3 linked regions of the Daphnia pulex genome follow. The protein of the gene in region 1 purifies or fractionates together with the protein of each later gene. This does not show direct contact. Links are inferred from orthologs where the notes say so. Each region holds a gene or a part of one and is shown in the gene's direction. Other genes may lie near its edges.

Region 1 (5,365 bases):
CAACTTTCACGTATTTCACCTTTAAAGTGACACAAAAATGATGAGGGGATCAAAGGCTTTTAATGCACTGCAAAAACAACTTACATGCGTAGCTTTTTCGAAAACTATCCGTGAATCGTCAATCTGATCATTTTTCTCATAAAATTTGGCAAAGTCGACCCACAGCGTGTGCACCTTTCCAATGGCCTGCTTTGGATCGACTGTCTGGACAGCCTCGGTAAAAGTATTGATAACTTCATGAGGTTTGCCCTCATAAAGCTGGACTCGTTTATGCCACTCGGCGACATTATGGGGGTTTTGACGTAAAAGAACAGAATTCAATAGCAAGGGCCGGCGATCCATTAAATCCTCAAAGCGGGCCATCCTCAACTCAACTTCAATATCATCGTCTTCTGTAGGATTAGGTTTCTGACCAATCTCTTCCATCATATGATTCAAATTCAACTCTTCAAACTGGGCATAGGCATCAAACACCTGTCGTAAATCAGAAAAACGTTAACTTGATTCGCATTAAATAAGACGACCACAAAGTATTTTACCTGTGTGAAGTCTCGTACTGTAGTAACTGTCTGAATGGCTTCTTCGTAAATATCTCTTGCTCTTTCAAACAAACCACTTCTAATATAGTAATCGGCAAGGGAATTCCAAAGCTGGCCAAGTTGATCAGTGTACCTACATAAGAATCCAGTAAATTATTCCTATGTTTGTAAAAATATTTGCATTTAATTTTTTTCCAGACACTCACCGTCGAAGACCTCCTCGAATGATTGCATCCACGTTAAGACTTTTAATTTGCTTGGGATTTTTCGAATTAAGTTCGCACAGTTCATTCCACAGTTGGTGGTTTGATTTTCCTGTCTTCGAAACAAAGCTGTCCTTGTTCACAATCTGGGCAAGTTTAACAGCTGCCTCATCAAGTCTGTCAATAGATTTTAAGTAATCGACAAATTCCTCTGCATCTTCGGTCGATAGTTTAAGAAAACGACGGAAAACTCGAACAGCTGTTTCTGGTATTGGATGCATTTTAACAAACTTCAAGTAGAGGGGCCAAATTCTGGAATGCTGGGTGATTGGCAAGGCTCTTAGAGCACGGTCAAAGACCTTTCTCGTAGTGGTAATCTTCTGTTGAAGAGTCAGAAACTTGCAATAGTCCATCCAAATCCTTGGCATCTATGGTATTCATTAAAAACATGGTATTTAATAATGTGTGATAATAATATAATTGGCATTTAAGATACCTTGTGCATGAATACCAATGCTCTTTCAAAAGTATTGTTGGCATCTTCATACAGTGGATCTGTTATACAGCGACCTTTAGTTTGCTTCCTTCTTAGGCAGAGATAACTGTACCATAGTTTGTAACTGTGAAGAGACAAACATGTGGATAGTTGAAAATGAGTACAAACTTATTTACTATGTACTACTACAAGAACCAATCAAACGAACCTGCCAGGCATTTCCTTCAAAGCTCTCTCATAAATCAAATTGACAACAACAGGAGGGGCATCCTTTTTGAACTCGCAATAGCGAAGCCAATGTTTGACAGAGTAAGGGTTCCGTAGAATCTCCTCTTCATACGCTAAATCTTCTTCACACTTTAAAGACAGAAGACATATTGTTAAAACCTATTAGTCAACTTCAATATAAAACAATGTATTATTACCAAAACAATGTCTCCAGTTTTCTTCCCTATACTTTTATCCATTTTGTTTATGAATTTTCTCGCAGCCACTCGGCTCAAATAAAATTTAACAAATAAATTTACGAACCAAACGTAAATGCACGTCTGCCGGGTGAAGTGTTGCCAAGTTGCACACTTACGTCTAACCCAAATTAAAGTTGAATTTTGTCCCTAATAGCGTCTTTTTATATAACGAGATCATTATAAAAATGGATTATCACAAGTTTTTATAGTAAAAATACCTTATTTTTGCGTTTGATGTGAAACAGCGACAGCCGACAAGCCACAAGCGTACATTCGCTGTTGTTTGTCCCCTCAGGCCTAAATTGAAGTGGGGTCTTCTGCTGTTTACAACCGAATATGGCCGACACTGTCCGGCACCCAGATGAGGCAGATAATTCTAATTCACAATTCCCTTATTCCTCGGAACAGTTACCAGATGAATACGTGAGTTTAAAAAAAAAATTATTGTTCGTCAACTGAAATTGATACTTGTCTCTTTTTTTTTCAGGGCGATGATGGAAAAATCGACCAAGACACCACCGGTAATGGAGAAATGTACGAAATCGAAAATGAAGATCATATTGCCATAGACAGAAATGACGGAAATACGGAATACGCTGGAGAAGGCTATGGTAATTTCATGTACATTTTTAATTATGGAAAAGTTCTTCAACTATTATCCCTTGTCTCTTTCCCTGTGTTGAATCGCTTGTCTGGTTTTCCCATAACAGTTTTAACATCCTGTATTTTCTATTGTAAAAGATCCAGAAGAAGCTGCAGAGACTAACGAAGAAAAGGATGAGAGACAAGATGAAGATCAAGACAATGATGACGATGAGGATGATGAAAGTGATGATGACGTACAAATCACGATTGGTGACATAAAATCTGGCCCAGCAGCTTATGCTGGTTTTAATGTCAAAAGAGGAACAGCTGGAACAACGGCACAAGGATTGGGGGAAAAGAGCAAAGTATACATTGAGCTACATCATGTTTGATGCAAGAGTTTGTTTTTAACATATGTATCTTATCTTAAGTTCACTGTGGAAGAGTTCGAAGGCTCAATGGCGATTAACGGTGTACCAGCACATGAATTTAGTTTGGATTCGCTGGAAGATAAACCTTGGAGGAAGCCTGGTGCTGATATCACTGATTATTTTAATTACGGTTTCAATGAAATAACGTGGCAAGCATATTGTGAGAGACAAAGGCGATCCCGTATGGAGTCTGGGGCTGGTGTTCCGGCTAGCCTTGGATTAGGACCCCCACCCAAGGTAATAAAATACGTAAACAAATGAAGCTCAAAGACGATATTATTATTTTTTGATTCAGATGATGGCGACCCCGGCCCAAGCGATTCCGATATCAGTGGTTAACGAAAATTCAAAATATGCGGGGTCAGTGGTTGTGAAAAAAGCAGGCCCTCCGCCAGCACGCAAAATGGCTGGTGCCATTGATGTCATTGGTGGAGGGAATCTATCTTCACGCCGACCAGAATCAGGCGTTTCACCTGCTCCTTCTATGGAGGAGCAACCTCCCGAAGTGGTAAGGCCCCGTATCCTTAATAAAATATTCATCCAAAGTCAACCAAAAAACTTTAAAGTTTATTATTTAAATTTCATTTTAATATCAGCCTGAAGCTCCTGTGGAGAAACCTCCCGTATCGATCGATTTCTCACGTCCTCCTCCTGGTTTTCCAAATATGGCTCTACCTCCTCCATTTGGTATGCCGCCACCAGTAATTCCACCACCAATGATGTTACCACCACCACCTATAGTACCTGATCCCTACGCCAATGAGTTCATGGCTGGCCCAGGAGCTCCTGGCGATGATTATTACCAATACGAACCTACTCAGGATTCACAGTGGGGATCTTCGGTAAGGATTTTAAAGACCATAACAGAAAACAAAACAAAATAAAAATAACTTTTTCCTCTTAGGACTGGAGAGGACCACCACCTATGGGAATACCACTACCAATGGGAATGAACCCACCGGGAAAGCAAAGAAGAGAGAGCCTGGGGACCCCTCCTGTTCCTGGAGAAGAATCTCGGTACTGTATATAAGTGGTACTCGATCTCCGTACAGCATTTGATTAGCTCTTCCTTGCAAATAGGATAAGCAGCAGCAGTCGAAGGCGCCGTAGCTCGCGCAGTCGCTCCCCTAAAGACGACCGAGAAAAAGAAAAAGAAGTGGAAAAGGATCGAGGCAAAGACAGAGAAAGGGATCGTGACCGCGATAGAGACCGAGATCGCGACAAACGGTAAGAGGAAAATCAAACGTTGACGAGCTTCTTCTGAAAATGCAATTGATATATTTCGTTCAACTTACACAGGGATCGACGCTCGGATAAGGACAAAGAGCGTGTAAGTGGCCGTGACCGGGAAAGAGATCGTGATCGTGACCGAGGAGAAAGAGACCGTAGTGATCGTAGACGTCGTCACCGAGGCAGTAAAAGTCGGAGTCGGAGTCCCACTTCTCATAAGCGTTCCTCCAAGCGCTCAAAGAGGGACAGAAGTAAAAGCAAAAGCTCGTCTGATTAGTTTTCGATACTCGGATTTCACTCCCTGCCTTTGTTAAATTTTGCGCAATTGGCCCAATTTAAAAAAATACACTCCTTTTTTCATTTACCTATTTTTGTTGATTTTCCTGAGTTATTCGTCTTAATCACAATTTATTTCAGCCCATCGAATAAGATTCAAAAAGAAAAGATTCCAACGCATATATTCGGGATGTATTTTTTTTCAAAAATGAAAGAGGGTAAAGTCGGTTGCACAAAGAGTGTGTGCTATTACGGAAATACATATGGAGGTGTTGTCTTTTTTCCAACCACAGAATTTAATATTAAAAAAAAGGAAAACTGTCTTTTCGATGGAGAGATTGAAAGAGAGAAGCGTTGATTTTCCAGAAAAAAAGGATTTGAGGAAGGAAGCGGATGTGGGATGTCGAAGAGCGAATTCTGGAGGGGACGATTTTTTTGTACATGAATCATGTTTACAAGGGGGGTGGGATAGGGGAGGAAAGAGCACTAGTGATATTTTTTACAGCATTTCGTAATTTCAATACATAACACCAGCGTTTACAAGGATACATTCTAATAATAAAGGTCGAAATAAAAGCCAAAATCAGGAAATAACTGACGCAAAAACCAAGGGATTGTAGGAAGGGGAGAGCTACACAAGAAAAGAAGGGACAAATGTCCAAAAGGAAGTTGGTGAGAATTAAAGAGAAAAAAGAAACAATTCACAAAATATTGGTCCGTGTGAGAAGAATCCACGGGATAAAGAGCAAAGAATTTGAAATAAACCAAGTAGCGTCAGCAATAAAGGAAATCTACGAAGCGGACCGGCGTTCTACAACTGAAAAAAGAAAAAAAAACAATAGGAAATCGAGGAGTTGAAAGTTTTGGAGAAATCCGCAAAAAAAGGACCCACAAAGTTGGTGACGTATCGTAGCGAATGAGTGTGTGGGGGTCACACCACACAGCTTGACTGCCGCACACAACGTAAATTTACAGTCGATGGGTGGAGAAAAAGGAGAGAAAAGAGCATTTTCCTTCAAAAATCTTTCCACTGTTTTTACTTCGCTTGGTTTTTGTTATGTAAAATAATGGAAAAGGTTCGCTCTTTTCACTTTTGCCGCTGTACACTTTACAGAAAACCAAAACGCTAATTGAGGAT
Region 2 (5,222 bases), on another chromosome or scaffold:
AACTACTACAACATGGTCCTGCTGGATATCGATAGATTTAGATTTGTGTTCGTGTCTGGCGCCAAGTGGACAAAACTGGGCAAATCCGCTTATATAAATATGGGGGGGGCTGGAAAATATTATCATCCGGAATCGGCTCTCTCCAACGTTTTGGAAATCTCTCTCTCTCCAAAAGGCAGCCAGAGAGATGACGTATGCGTGCTATACTGTATTATTCACTTTCAATGCTGTTGACAGTTTTGTTCACTTTTTCAAAGATTTGAAATTTCCTCGAAATTTCCAATCGATTTCGAACGTTCTTTTTGATAAAAACTTTTTTTTAACTTTTAATTTCCGGATGAGCGGATGATAGTGATCTCGTGTAGAAGGACAGGTGTGTTCACATCTATACGCCGCCATGACAACCGACTGACAGTCTTCTGGCACGAGGCATCTCCGGACGGACGGACGGCCGCGTTAAAGGCAGGTGAATTCGTAATAGTGGGAAACGGAACAGGTTCCTTCTTCTCCTTGTATATACGTCTATCCAATAGAGCAGCAAGTTTATTTATATACACGTTTATTCTGTCCGGAGGGATGTGCGCCAAGGTTCGATAAAGACGGCGATGACTCTCTCAAATCGGCCAGACAAATGTTATGCAATTAGAATCAGCCGAGAAATCCGCTCGCGGAGCCTGCGGTGCGATTGCTTGCTTGCACGCAACCGTGTGTCTGTGTGCAGGTGTGGGTGTGTGTGTGCGTTTGCACTAAGAAATTATGAAGACGCTTTGATATTTAATAGGAAAAAACTACCCACACTCGACACAGCTCCCACGTTCAATTGTTTTCCGTATCAGCGAATAATGTGCTGTCACGTAGGAAATGCGTTTCAATGTCTTGTTTTTTCGCTGGATATTTTTCGCCAAAATTTATTGTCAACTGCAGGGAGACAAACGTGAACTTTATAGCTTACACACACACATGTATATGTATACCTGGCCCACATATACCGTGCTCGATGCACTGGAGGTTCATAATCGTGATTCATGAAACAATCATGTTACATGCATCCTAGTAAAACTTCATGGAAACTCGGCCCAACCTATAGCTACACCGTGTGTGTGTACGAGCTTGACGAGTTACTGCAGAAAGACCAAATGGTGAAGTTGATATAATCAAAAGTTATAAAAGGAGAATCTTCTTGACATTTCACGAACGAACAGTTTGCCGGTCGCTTTTTGGGTCTACATTTTTACCTCATCTGGGATCGCTGCTTCTTTTAGACTCCGCCACTCTTGGCAGAGACTTGAAACCATCTCGTGTGTAGCTTTCGGTGCAGGTGCTTCATTCCCACGCATAATCATCGGTTATTTATGCCACCATTTCTCAAATCGAGTAGAGTTTCACGAATTTTAAAACCCGTGGACAAAAAAGTCGAGATTGAATAGTAAAAACGCCGTCAGTCCGTTAATATCTTAAATCATCGACCCCGAAAAAATATATCAAATTCTAAATGCCATAAAACTTCACGGCGTAGATTGCATAATTAATAAATGTATACTACGTAATATTTTTATGATTTTATCAAAGTAAAAAAGGCGAAAGCGGATGTGATGTGTCAACTCGCGGAGTGGACATAAAAGTTTACCTGGCAACAGCTTGTAGACCCAAGAAAAACAAAAGACAAAATGGCTAAACGTAAAAATGACGTACAGGTCCCGGCCGAAGAAAGTGATTTATTGGTTATTAGGCCATTGTAAATATAATGTCAATTGACTTTTAATTTGTATTTGGAAAATTCACGGGTGTTTTTTATTACATTACTTTTCAGGGGAGCCGGACAAGAAGTTGGTCGATCATGTATCATGCTCGAATTCAAGGGCAAGAAAATCATGGTAAACAAACGTGTTTTTGTTGTACAGAGTTGAATCGCCATTGAATGTGGGCATTTCATTGATTATGTTTTTCATTTTCTAGCTGGATTGTGGAATTCATCCAGGTTTATCGGGAATGGATGCACTGCCTTTCGTTGATTTGATTGAAGCAGATCAAATTGACTTGTTACTCATTTCACAGTGAGTTTTGGTTTTGTTTTCTTAAGTTTTATTGTCAATAGCTAATGTACAATTGTATTTTTCAATAGTTTCCATTTGGATCACTGTGGGGCACTTCCATGGTTTTTACAGAAAACAACATTCAAGGGACGGTGCTTCATGACACATGCCACAAAAGCAATTTACCGTTGGCTGCTCTCTGATTATATTAAAGTAAGAAAAAAAGGCATTTGAGTTTTAGTCGATGCAGTGCTCACAAGTAATATTTCCAACAGGTCAGCAACATTTCCACAGATCAAATGCTCTACACAGAGGCAGATCTGGAGGCATCCATGGAAAAGATTGAAGTTATCAACTTTCACGAAGAGAAGGATGTTGGTGGAGTTCGTTTCTGGGCTTACAACGCAGGCCATGTTCTGGGCGCCGCTATGTTCATGATTGAAATTGCCGGCGTGAAAGTGCTTTACACTGGGGACTTTTCCCGACAGGAAGACAGACATTTGATGGCCGCTGAGATTCCTACTGTTCGACCCGATATCCTAATCACCGTGAGTTAAGCTTGAAGTATTTCAAGGCGAAATATGTCCATGTGATAATCTGTTTTATTCTCGAAGGAATCCACTTACGGAACTCACATCCACGAGAAGCGCGAAGATCGAGAAAGCCGTTTCACAGGTCTGATCCACGAAATTGTCAATAGAGGTGGCAGATGTCTGATCCCGGTCTTTGCACTGGGTCGAGCACAAGAATTGCTTCTCATTCTAGGTATTAGGTATTAGAAGTAATTTTTTGCATAAGAAAACTTCCAATCAGTTTTAATTGGCTTTTAGATGAATATTGGAGCCTGCATCCCGAACTTCACGAGATTCCCATCTACTATGCCTCGTCGCTTGCACAAAAGTGTATGGCCGTGTACCAGGTACTAATCAAATTCAAAATCTCGCAGCGATCGCATCAAACTTTAATTGGTTCTCTATTCTTGCAGACTTATATCAATGCCATGAACGACAAAATTCGGCGGCAGATTGCCATCAATAATCCTTTCATCTTCAAGCACATCTCTAGTCTCAAGGTACAATAATATTTGAAATAACCTGTTATAAAATGGTCCTTTATTCAACGCAATGTATTGTCATTCCCCAGGGTATCGATCAGTTCGAAGACGTTGGCCCTTGTGTAATTATGGCCTCTCCCGGTATGATGCAGAGTGGTCTATCTCGCGAACTCTTCGAAGCTTGGTGCACAGATCCTAAAAACGGTTGCATCATCGCAGGTCAGTGGAAAGAAATGTTTTAATTTTTATATAATTAGTTGTTCACGTTTATTTTTGTTGTCGTAAAAGGGTACTGTGTTGAAGGAACATTGGCAAAACATGTTTTGTCAGAACCGGAAGATATTACCAGCATGGCTGGCCAGAAGCTACCAATGAAGCTTTCAGTTGACTACATTTCATTCTCCGCTCACACTGACTACCAACAGACCAGTGAATTTATTCGTTTGCTGAAGCCACCTCATGTCGTTTTGGTTCACGGCGAGGCCAACGAGATGAACCGACTCAAAGCGGCGCTCATCCGAGAGTATGAACATGATCCAGACACTCAAATCCGTATATACAATCCACGTAACACTGCGGCAGTAGAACTCCATTTCAAGGGCGAAAAAACGGCCAAAGTAATTTAAAAAATCGTAAAAGCGATTCACCCAATGAATTTTATTCTAACGCCTTGTTGTCTAGGTGATGGGATCTCTGGCGTTTGAAAAACCAGTCGAAGGCCAAATCATTTCTGGTGTCTTGGTCAAACGAAACTTCAAATACCAAATTGTGGCGCCGTCGGATATTTCGAGTACCAACAATTTTTATTCAAGTCTTAATTTCTATAACTTTAGTACCCAATTTTTTTGAATTGCAGAATACACAGACATGACTGTAAGCAGCGTAACTCAAAGGATGGGTATCCACTACAGCGGGAATCTGCAAACGTTACAAGCTGTCCTGTCTCACGTTTCGCCTGACGTCGAAGTTATCGAGAGCGACAAAGGACTAAAAACATTTCGCCTTTTCTCTGCCATTGATGTCATTGTTGATAAAACTCTGGTTACATTAGAAGTACGCATCTTAATGATTTGTGAAGACCACTTCTTTAATGTTTAATATTTGATTTGTTTAGTGGGCGGCTGATTCTGTGAACGACATGTTCGCTGACGCAGTGCTTTCAGCTATCTTAAAGTGCGAATCTCTTCAAGGTTCGAGGACGATTGTGCTACCCACGACTGTTGATCATGCCCGCTTCAAGGTACTAAATTTTATTTGTTTGAGAATAATATCGGTCTAAACGTGTGAATTTATATAGGAATGCTTGATAGAAATGCTTCAAGATATGTTTGGAGATGATGCGGTTCCAAAAATGTTCAAAGGAGATAAATTCATTGTTACCGTTGACGGAAAAAGAGCCAATATAGATCTCACAGCATTGGTAACGTCTAAAATTACCGTTTTCTTATAAAAATCTAAATTCTTTTTTATTAAAGGAGGTGGAATGTCCTGAAGATGTTGGATTTCAACAAGTGGTTCAAACGGCTGTACTTAAATTATATCAATCTTTGGCACCAAAAGCAGAAAAAGTAAAATAACTTGTATTGATATTTAATAATGGAAGAATAAACAACTGCTAAAGTATTTTTATAATCCATCCATATATTTTTTGCATTGTTACTGGATTGTGATTTCTTAAAAATCAAAGTCTTCGCACTAATATTGCCCCGCACGAAGTAACAACCGATTAATTCATGCCCTCAAGAAGAAGAGCTACTCCTTGACCACCACCAATACAAGCCGATCCGATAGCATATTTCAGTTTGCGACGTCTAATGATAAAAGTAAAATAATTAGCATATGGTTCAACGCATCAAAGAAAATTAATTACCCCAATTCGTGAACCAAATGCGCGGTAATGCGCGAGCCGGAAGCTCCAAGAGGATGACCAAGAGCGATGGCACCACCATTGACGTTAAGGACTTCAGGATCCAAATCAAGTTCACGTTGGCAAGCAATAGTCTGAGCCGCGAAGGCTTCGTTGATTTCAACTGCACCAATATCCTTCAGCTGCAAATTAGCTTTAGCCAATACTTTACGAATGGCAGGTGCTGGTCCGATTCCCATGATAGTGGGTTCAACACCAGCAATACCAT
Region 3 (5,399 bases), on another chromosome or scaffold:
TACTTATAATGACCAATTAAACAACTCGTCTTATTTTAAATATTCTCTTATAAGCTTGCTCCGAGGCATATGGCAATGAAATGGAAAAGAAAACTGCATGCTTCGAAGGCTGTACGGATGCTCAAAAGGAATACAACAGAATGTACTCGGTAAAAATTAATAGATGTCTTTAATGCTCATTTAAAACGAGTCTAAGTTGTGTGTTCTCTAATTGTTATAGATGTCGATTGATTGGTTACATGATTTACAAAGCAACATGACTTTCTTCCAAACTTTATTGGATGTAACGGGTGCTATTGTGAACCCGAAACGATTTGTAGAAGACATTCCTTCTACTAGAAAAGGTTAGTGTTTCTTTAACAAACAATTTTTTTAAATTCGATTGTTTAAATTTACCCGTTTTTCTATTCGATTTTAGTCGTAAAAACCAAAAGCCCAGCAGCATTAGTAAACTTAAATGCTCCCTTAAAGTTTGCGCCTCAAAATACGAATGCCAAAAAAAATCTGCCGGAACAAGAAAGTGATCAATTCAGAAAACAGCAGCAATCAACCAACACAGTGCCGGAATGGATTGCTCAAAGCGCGTTTATCTTATTCACGCTTGGTGTTGTCATGCTACTGGGAACCTTTTGTTACTGCTGCTTTTTTGCGCATCTCCTCAGACGCGTAAGCATAATGAAACATAATTTCTAATTGGATAACTTTGATAACCTTCCGTTCTCTGGCTGAAGCAGAATAAAGAAATCAAAACGGACCTACCGCCCAGCTACGAACAGCTTGTCAGAAATAGCTACGTCATCGTGCAACCTTCACTGCTAAATGACTATCATCTTGTAAAAGGCGACAAACCAGAGGAATCCTGTACCATCAATTTGGATTCCGATACAGGAGCGAACAACATTTCAGACATTTATAGATCTGACAACGACGAAGTTCGTTTACCGCTTAGATATGAAACGGAAACTGCGTGAGTAAAATCTATAACGAGTGGACAGATGAAGCTGGTGTTACTGTAATATCCAGCCTAACAACTTCTGTAAATATTGTATAAATACGTATATTTATTAACAACACTTTTCCCTAAAAAGAGTAAAAGCGTTTCTTTGAGCTAATTGCTGTGTGAATTAGCTCAAACTTTCTCTTGGCATGGAACTGTTATGTACATAATTCAAATAAACCGTTAAATTTTGTCGAACTGATTTCCTGTTTAAGGTGTTTCAGTTTTGTGTCGGGATTACAATTCGTCTTCGAACCGCACGACTTGCACGAAAAATAAAAATAAAAATAAAAAGATACAGGATAACGAGTTGACTTTAGAAACTCGTCTGGTCACCTTTGTTTGGATTGTTGAGGTGAACAGGTATTGATTATCAATAGTGCTATGTCCAATCTCGATACACGTTATCACATTTTTCTAACTCGTTGTTGTAATAAAAAAAAACGGATAATAGATCTGATCTAACATAAATAGAATCAGAAAAAATGATATAACATTATATTTGTTCTTCGAGAGTATCGAGACCGTAAACATACCGTCGGTTTATTATATAGTACCAAAAAGGATAACACGCAATCCCTTCTTTTCTTTTTTGAGTTTTTTCCTTTCAAGTTTCAACGATTACCGATTACGAACCATTCTTCAGCGCTATTTCAACGTAAAATTTGTGAATTTTTTGTTATTATTAAATTTTTTATCGTTATCAAATTATACTTTTCCCAGAATTATTTAAATTATTTATATTTTTTAAAATTTGGTTTATTGATTGATAATTTCAATCAATCGAATATTTGAATTTTATTGTTTTCTTCTTTCTGTCGGATCGAGAGATACCTACGTTTGATATGGCAACTAGGCAATGCCTTATGCCGCAGCCAAACATTGCAAAATGGCGCTGAGCAGGCAACAGAACATCTCTTGAACATTTTAGGTGAGTGCATTTTTTATCGGGGATTTACAGACTTATATCATCAGCGCCGATTGTCGGCATTGATCGAAAATTTAAATGTAAATTTTTAAGTACTTATTTCACTTAAAATCTGTGGAAATTGGGCGTTTTCATTTTCTGACGAAACAAGTAGTTGACGTGCGGTGTGCACATAACGGTTTCTCTCATGTTTACATAAACTTGTTCTTCAATTAACTAAAATTTTTTATTGTCTTTTTTTCAGCTATTTAACTAATTATTATCAGAAAAATGGCAACCCAAATGGCATATTATCCTGGTGCCAATGGCATGAATCAGTCACCATTTCAATCGAGGCATGCCACTGGCCCCAGCCAGAGCCCTGCAAATGCAGGAAATAATTCTTTCCTTGGAGCAGGATTACCTAGGATTGTTCCAGGAAGTGAACCATTGAGACCACCAATTCCACCTGGTCGCCACATGTTTCATCCCTTCAATAGACCATACCCTAAGCCTGGCCAAGATCGGTCAGACTATGATTCCAAACAGTTGCGCAAGAGCTCAATGCGCAAAACTGTAGATTATTACTCTTCAGTGATTCGTATGCTAGAGGTAAATTGAGAAGCTTGTAAATACAAGGATTGCCTTTCTTCTCTTGTAGTTAGAACATGTTTATATTTTTAATATTTCCTTTAATTTATATGTTCAGAGTTTTATCAAATACAATTTGTATTTATATAGTATTATCTTGACTTAAATTTAGACAAGAGTCTGGCAGCGGGACGCCAGAGACAGGCGAAGTCTTCAACCCGACGTGTGTTATTATCCAGAAATGGTTCCTCCCTCTTGCTATTTGGATACGCCCAGCAATGCCATAACAACACGTTTTACTAAAGTAATGCATTATAGATGGAAAGCCCGATTTTGAATTATTCTATTTATCTTTTTTTTTCTTTGAATTTACCTCGAAAGGTGGCAACAAATAAAATTCGTTGTCCAGTATTTTGCCTTACTTGGACTCCTGAAGGCCGTCGTTTAATCACAGGGGCATCAAGCGGCGAGTTTACCCTGTGGAACGGCCTGACGTTCAATTTTGAAACTATTTTACAGGTATGAAAAATCCGTAAATAGTACTCCTAAGAAATAACACGGTAACGAGTAATTATTAATCTAATCCTTCTTACCCTTTAAATAGGCTCACGACAGTCCGGTCCGTAGCATGGTATGGTCCCACAACGATATCTGGATGGTGACGGGGGACCATGGCGGCTACATCAAATACTGGCAGTCAAATATGAATAACGTCAAGATGTTTCAAGCTCACAAAGAAGCCATTCGGGGCATCAGGTATTGAAACCAAAACCAAACCAAAATAAAAATCAAATTTCATTGCTGTGATACGTATAACCTCCGAACTTTTCCCAATCTTTTCTTCTATAAATGCTCATTGCCCAATAATACAAGTACGCTTGAAAGTAAAAGAGAAAAAAAAAGAAAATCCTACATACCAAGAACAACTGATCTGTGATAGATGCAACTGAGGAAAATAAAAGAGACTTCTTTTTCAACCCTCTATACGATTTTGAAGTAAAACATTTTATACGATTCGTTTATGAAACTCTGCGCACCCGATATTGCCTAATTGCAATAGGCGTATACGAGATCGAAATACTTGTCGGGACTTACGGTTAACTTTTCAAATGACCCATACTTTTCTACCCCAATTAAACTTCTTTTATCCACAAAGTCAACATTTTCAATTAATCTACCTTGACGATTATAAAACCATTTTAAGGGTATTCAATTACAATTAAAGACCCTCCACGTTTTTGTGTATCCAGTTTTAGTCCAACGGATCAAAAATTGGCCTCTTGCTCCGACGATGGAACTGTGCGAATATGGGATTTTGTCCGCTGTCAGGAGGAAAAAATTCTTCGAGGTACCCAACTAATTGTTTTGTTTTTTCTGCAAGCCTACTTCATGTCCATCAATTGTTTCCATTAGGGCACGGAGCTGATGTCAAATGCGTCGATTGGCACCCGCAAAAGGGTCTAGTCATTTCAGGCAGCAAAGACAACCAGCAACCAGTCAAACTGTGGGATCCCAAATCTGGTCAATCATTAGCTACGCTGCACGCCCATAAAAGCACAGTTATGGACGCAAAATGGAACAAGAACGGCCAGTGGCTCATCACCGCTTCCAGAGATCATTTGATCAAGCTATTTGACATCCGTCGGCTTGATCAAGAATTGCAAACTTTCCGCGGTCACAAGAAGGAAGCATCCTGTCTTTCGTGGCATCCATTTCACGAAGAACTTTTCTGTAGCGGTGGATCTGACGGAGCTATATTCTTCTGGAACGTTGGGTAATTTTGTTTATTAAGTCGTGTATTTTTCAAACCTTACCCTAACTCTTTTTCTGTTTTGCTTTGAAAACATAGAACGGACAAAGAAGTTGGTGCTATCGATCAAGCTCATGAAAGTCTCATTTGGTCTCTTGCCTGGCATCCGATCGGACACATTCTCTGTTCGGGTTCGAATGACCACACGTCAAAGTTCTGGACACGAAACAGACCCGGCGATAAGATGAGGGACAAATACAATCTCAACACGTTACCGCCTGGAGTGATGCCCGAAGACGCCGAGTTGCTGGATGACCATCACGCTCCCAATATCCCAGGAATGGGACCCGAAGACAAAGTGGAAGCAGAAGGCGGAGACGGACAACTCGGTCAGAGTAGCCTCAGTTTATTAAGCGCAGGCATGATTCCTGGTCTGGATGTGGAACCATTAGCACAAGACGTGAAACCCATCAAGAAAGTTCCGTATGCCAAACCAATTCCACGTCACTTCCAGGCACAATGGAATGAGAGCAGTGCTAGTAAGAAACCAGCCATCTTACCCACTCCCAGCCTATCGTCAGCATCGGGTGTACTGTCTGATGAAGAGGATCACGTCCTTGGTGTTGATCCCGTTGCCTTTGGAATGGAACAGTTGGGTCGCGCATCTCTGACCCTGTTCGGCCTACCGGCTAATGATCCAGAGCAGTTGCAAGAATTGCTCGACACGGCTCAGTCGTTGCCTGTTACTCAACTTCCCACTCCGACAGCTGTCATAATCGATGGCACGATACTGTCCATCGAAGCCGATTCAGAGTTAGAGAAAGCCATTCGTACTGGCGAAGAAGAGTTTAATCAGGTTCTATCTTCGATGGGCTTGAAAGTTACTGTTGAGGAGGAGGAGACTAAACCCGAAGTAGTTCCAACTGGCGAGTACAATCAAGATCGAGAATTGGACGACGACGATTTCTATCCGCGCTCTCGAACACCTGTTCTTGACGACTCTCCGGGCTACAACAGGGGTCATTCAGGAATTGGTCCAACACCAACTGGTGGTCTTCTAGGAGACTTCCCTCAGAGAGGTAATTAATTTGCATAAATGATTGTTCTGCTGTTGGCACTGTACTAAATTATTGAATAGTTGTAGAGTTTCAACA

Evidence for each region.
Region 2: the proteins of pre-mRNA 3'-end-processing factor FIP1-like (region 1) and cleavage and polyadenylation specificity factor 73-like purify together in Homo sapiens (affinity purification with mass spectrometry; 5 studies listed by BioGRID and IntAct, with this or other methods). This does not show direct contact. The link is inferred for Daphnia pulex from reciprocal best matches to the Homo sapiens genes FIP1L1 and CPSF3.
Region 3: the proteins of pre-mRNA 3'-end-processing factor FIP1-like (region 1) and pre-mRNA 3' end processing protein WDR33-like purify together in Homo sapiens (affinity purification with mass spectrometry; 5 studies listed by BioGRID and IntAct, with this or other methods). This does not show direct contact. The link is inferred for Daphnia pulex from reciprocal best matches to the Homo sapiens genes FIP1L1 and WDR33.

The regions. Positions count from the first base shown.
Region 1 is NC_060020.1:2,901,069-2,906,433, reverse strand, and holds pre-mRNA 3'-end-processing factor FIP1-like, read left to right. Parts: upstream 1-1,968; 5' UTR 1,969-2,041; coding exon 2,042-2,128; intron 2,129-2,192; coding exon 2,193-2,316; intron 2,317-2,446; coding exon 2,447-2,655; intron 2,656-2,721; coding exon 2,722-2,958; intron 2,959-3,016; coding exon 3,017-3,229; intron 3,230-3,317; coding exon 3,318-3,563; intron 3,564-3,625; coding exon 3,626-3,738; intron 3,739-3,801; coding exon 3,802-3,948; intron 3,949-4,020; coding exon 4,021-4,228; 3' UTR 4,229-4,315; downstream 4,316-5,365. Other genes in the region: pre-mRNA-splicing factor syf1 homolog, read right to left, coding at 1-19, 85-474, 540-672, 746-1,170, 1,239-1,362, 1,447-1,595, 1,664-1,705.
Region 2 is NC_060024.1:9,772,391-9,777,612, forward strand, and holds cleavage and polyadenylation specificity factor 73-like, read left to right. Parts: upstream 1-1,600; 5' UTR 1,601-1,667; coding exon 1,668-1,735; intron 1,736-1,810; coding exon 1,811-1,874; intron 1,875-1,956; coding exon 1,957-2,054; intron 2,055-2,122; coding exon 2,123-2,246; intron 2,247-2,308; coding exon 2,309-2,581; intron 2,582-2,647; coding exon 2,648-2,798; intron 2,799-2,863; coding exon 2,864-2,952; intron 2,953-3,018; coding exon 3,019-3,105; intron 3,106-3,176; coding exon 3,177-3,306; intron 3,307-3,375; coding exon 3,376-3,704; intron 3,705-3,768; coding exon 3,769-3,877; intron 3,878-3,943; coding exon 3,944-4,140; intron 4,141-4,201; coding exon 4,202-4,327; intron 4,328-4,384; coding exon 4,385-4,507; intron 4,508-4,562; coding exon 4,563-4,664; 3' UTR 4,665-4,710; downstream 4,711-5,222. Other genes in the region: 3-ketoacyl-CoA thiolase, mitochondrial-like, read right to left, coding at 4,814-4,898, 4,958-5,222. UniProt on the Homo sapiens protein: Component of the cleavage and polyadenylation specificity factor (CPSF) complex that plays a key role in pre-mRNA 3'-end formation, recognizing the AAUAAA signal sequence and interacting with poly(A) polymerase and other factors to bring about cleavage and poly(A) addition.
Region 3 is NC_060018.1:837,184-842,582, reverse strand, and holds the start of pre-mRNA 3' end processing protein WDR33-like, read left to right. Parts: upstream 1-1,777; 5' UTR 1,778-1,928; exon of another isoform or gene 1,929-2,103; intron 2,104-2,169; 5' UTR 2,170-2,195; coding exon 2,196-2,516; intron 2,517-2,667; coding exon 2,668-2,799; intron 2,800-2,876; coding exon 2,877-3,014; intron 3,015-3,099; coding exon 3,100-3,251; intron 3,252-3,745; coding exon 3,746-3,843; intron 3,844-3,908; coding exon 3,909-4,269; intron 4,270-4,344; coding exon 4,345-5,324; intron 5,325-5,383; coding exon 5,384-5,399. Other genes in the region: uncharacterized protein LOC124188867, read left to right, coding at 55-149, 221-344, 419-666, 732-971. UniProt on the Homo sapiens protein: Essential for both cleavage and polyadenylation of pre-mRNA 3' ends.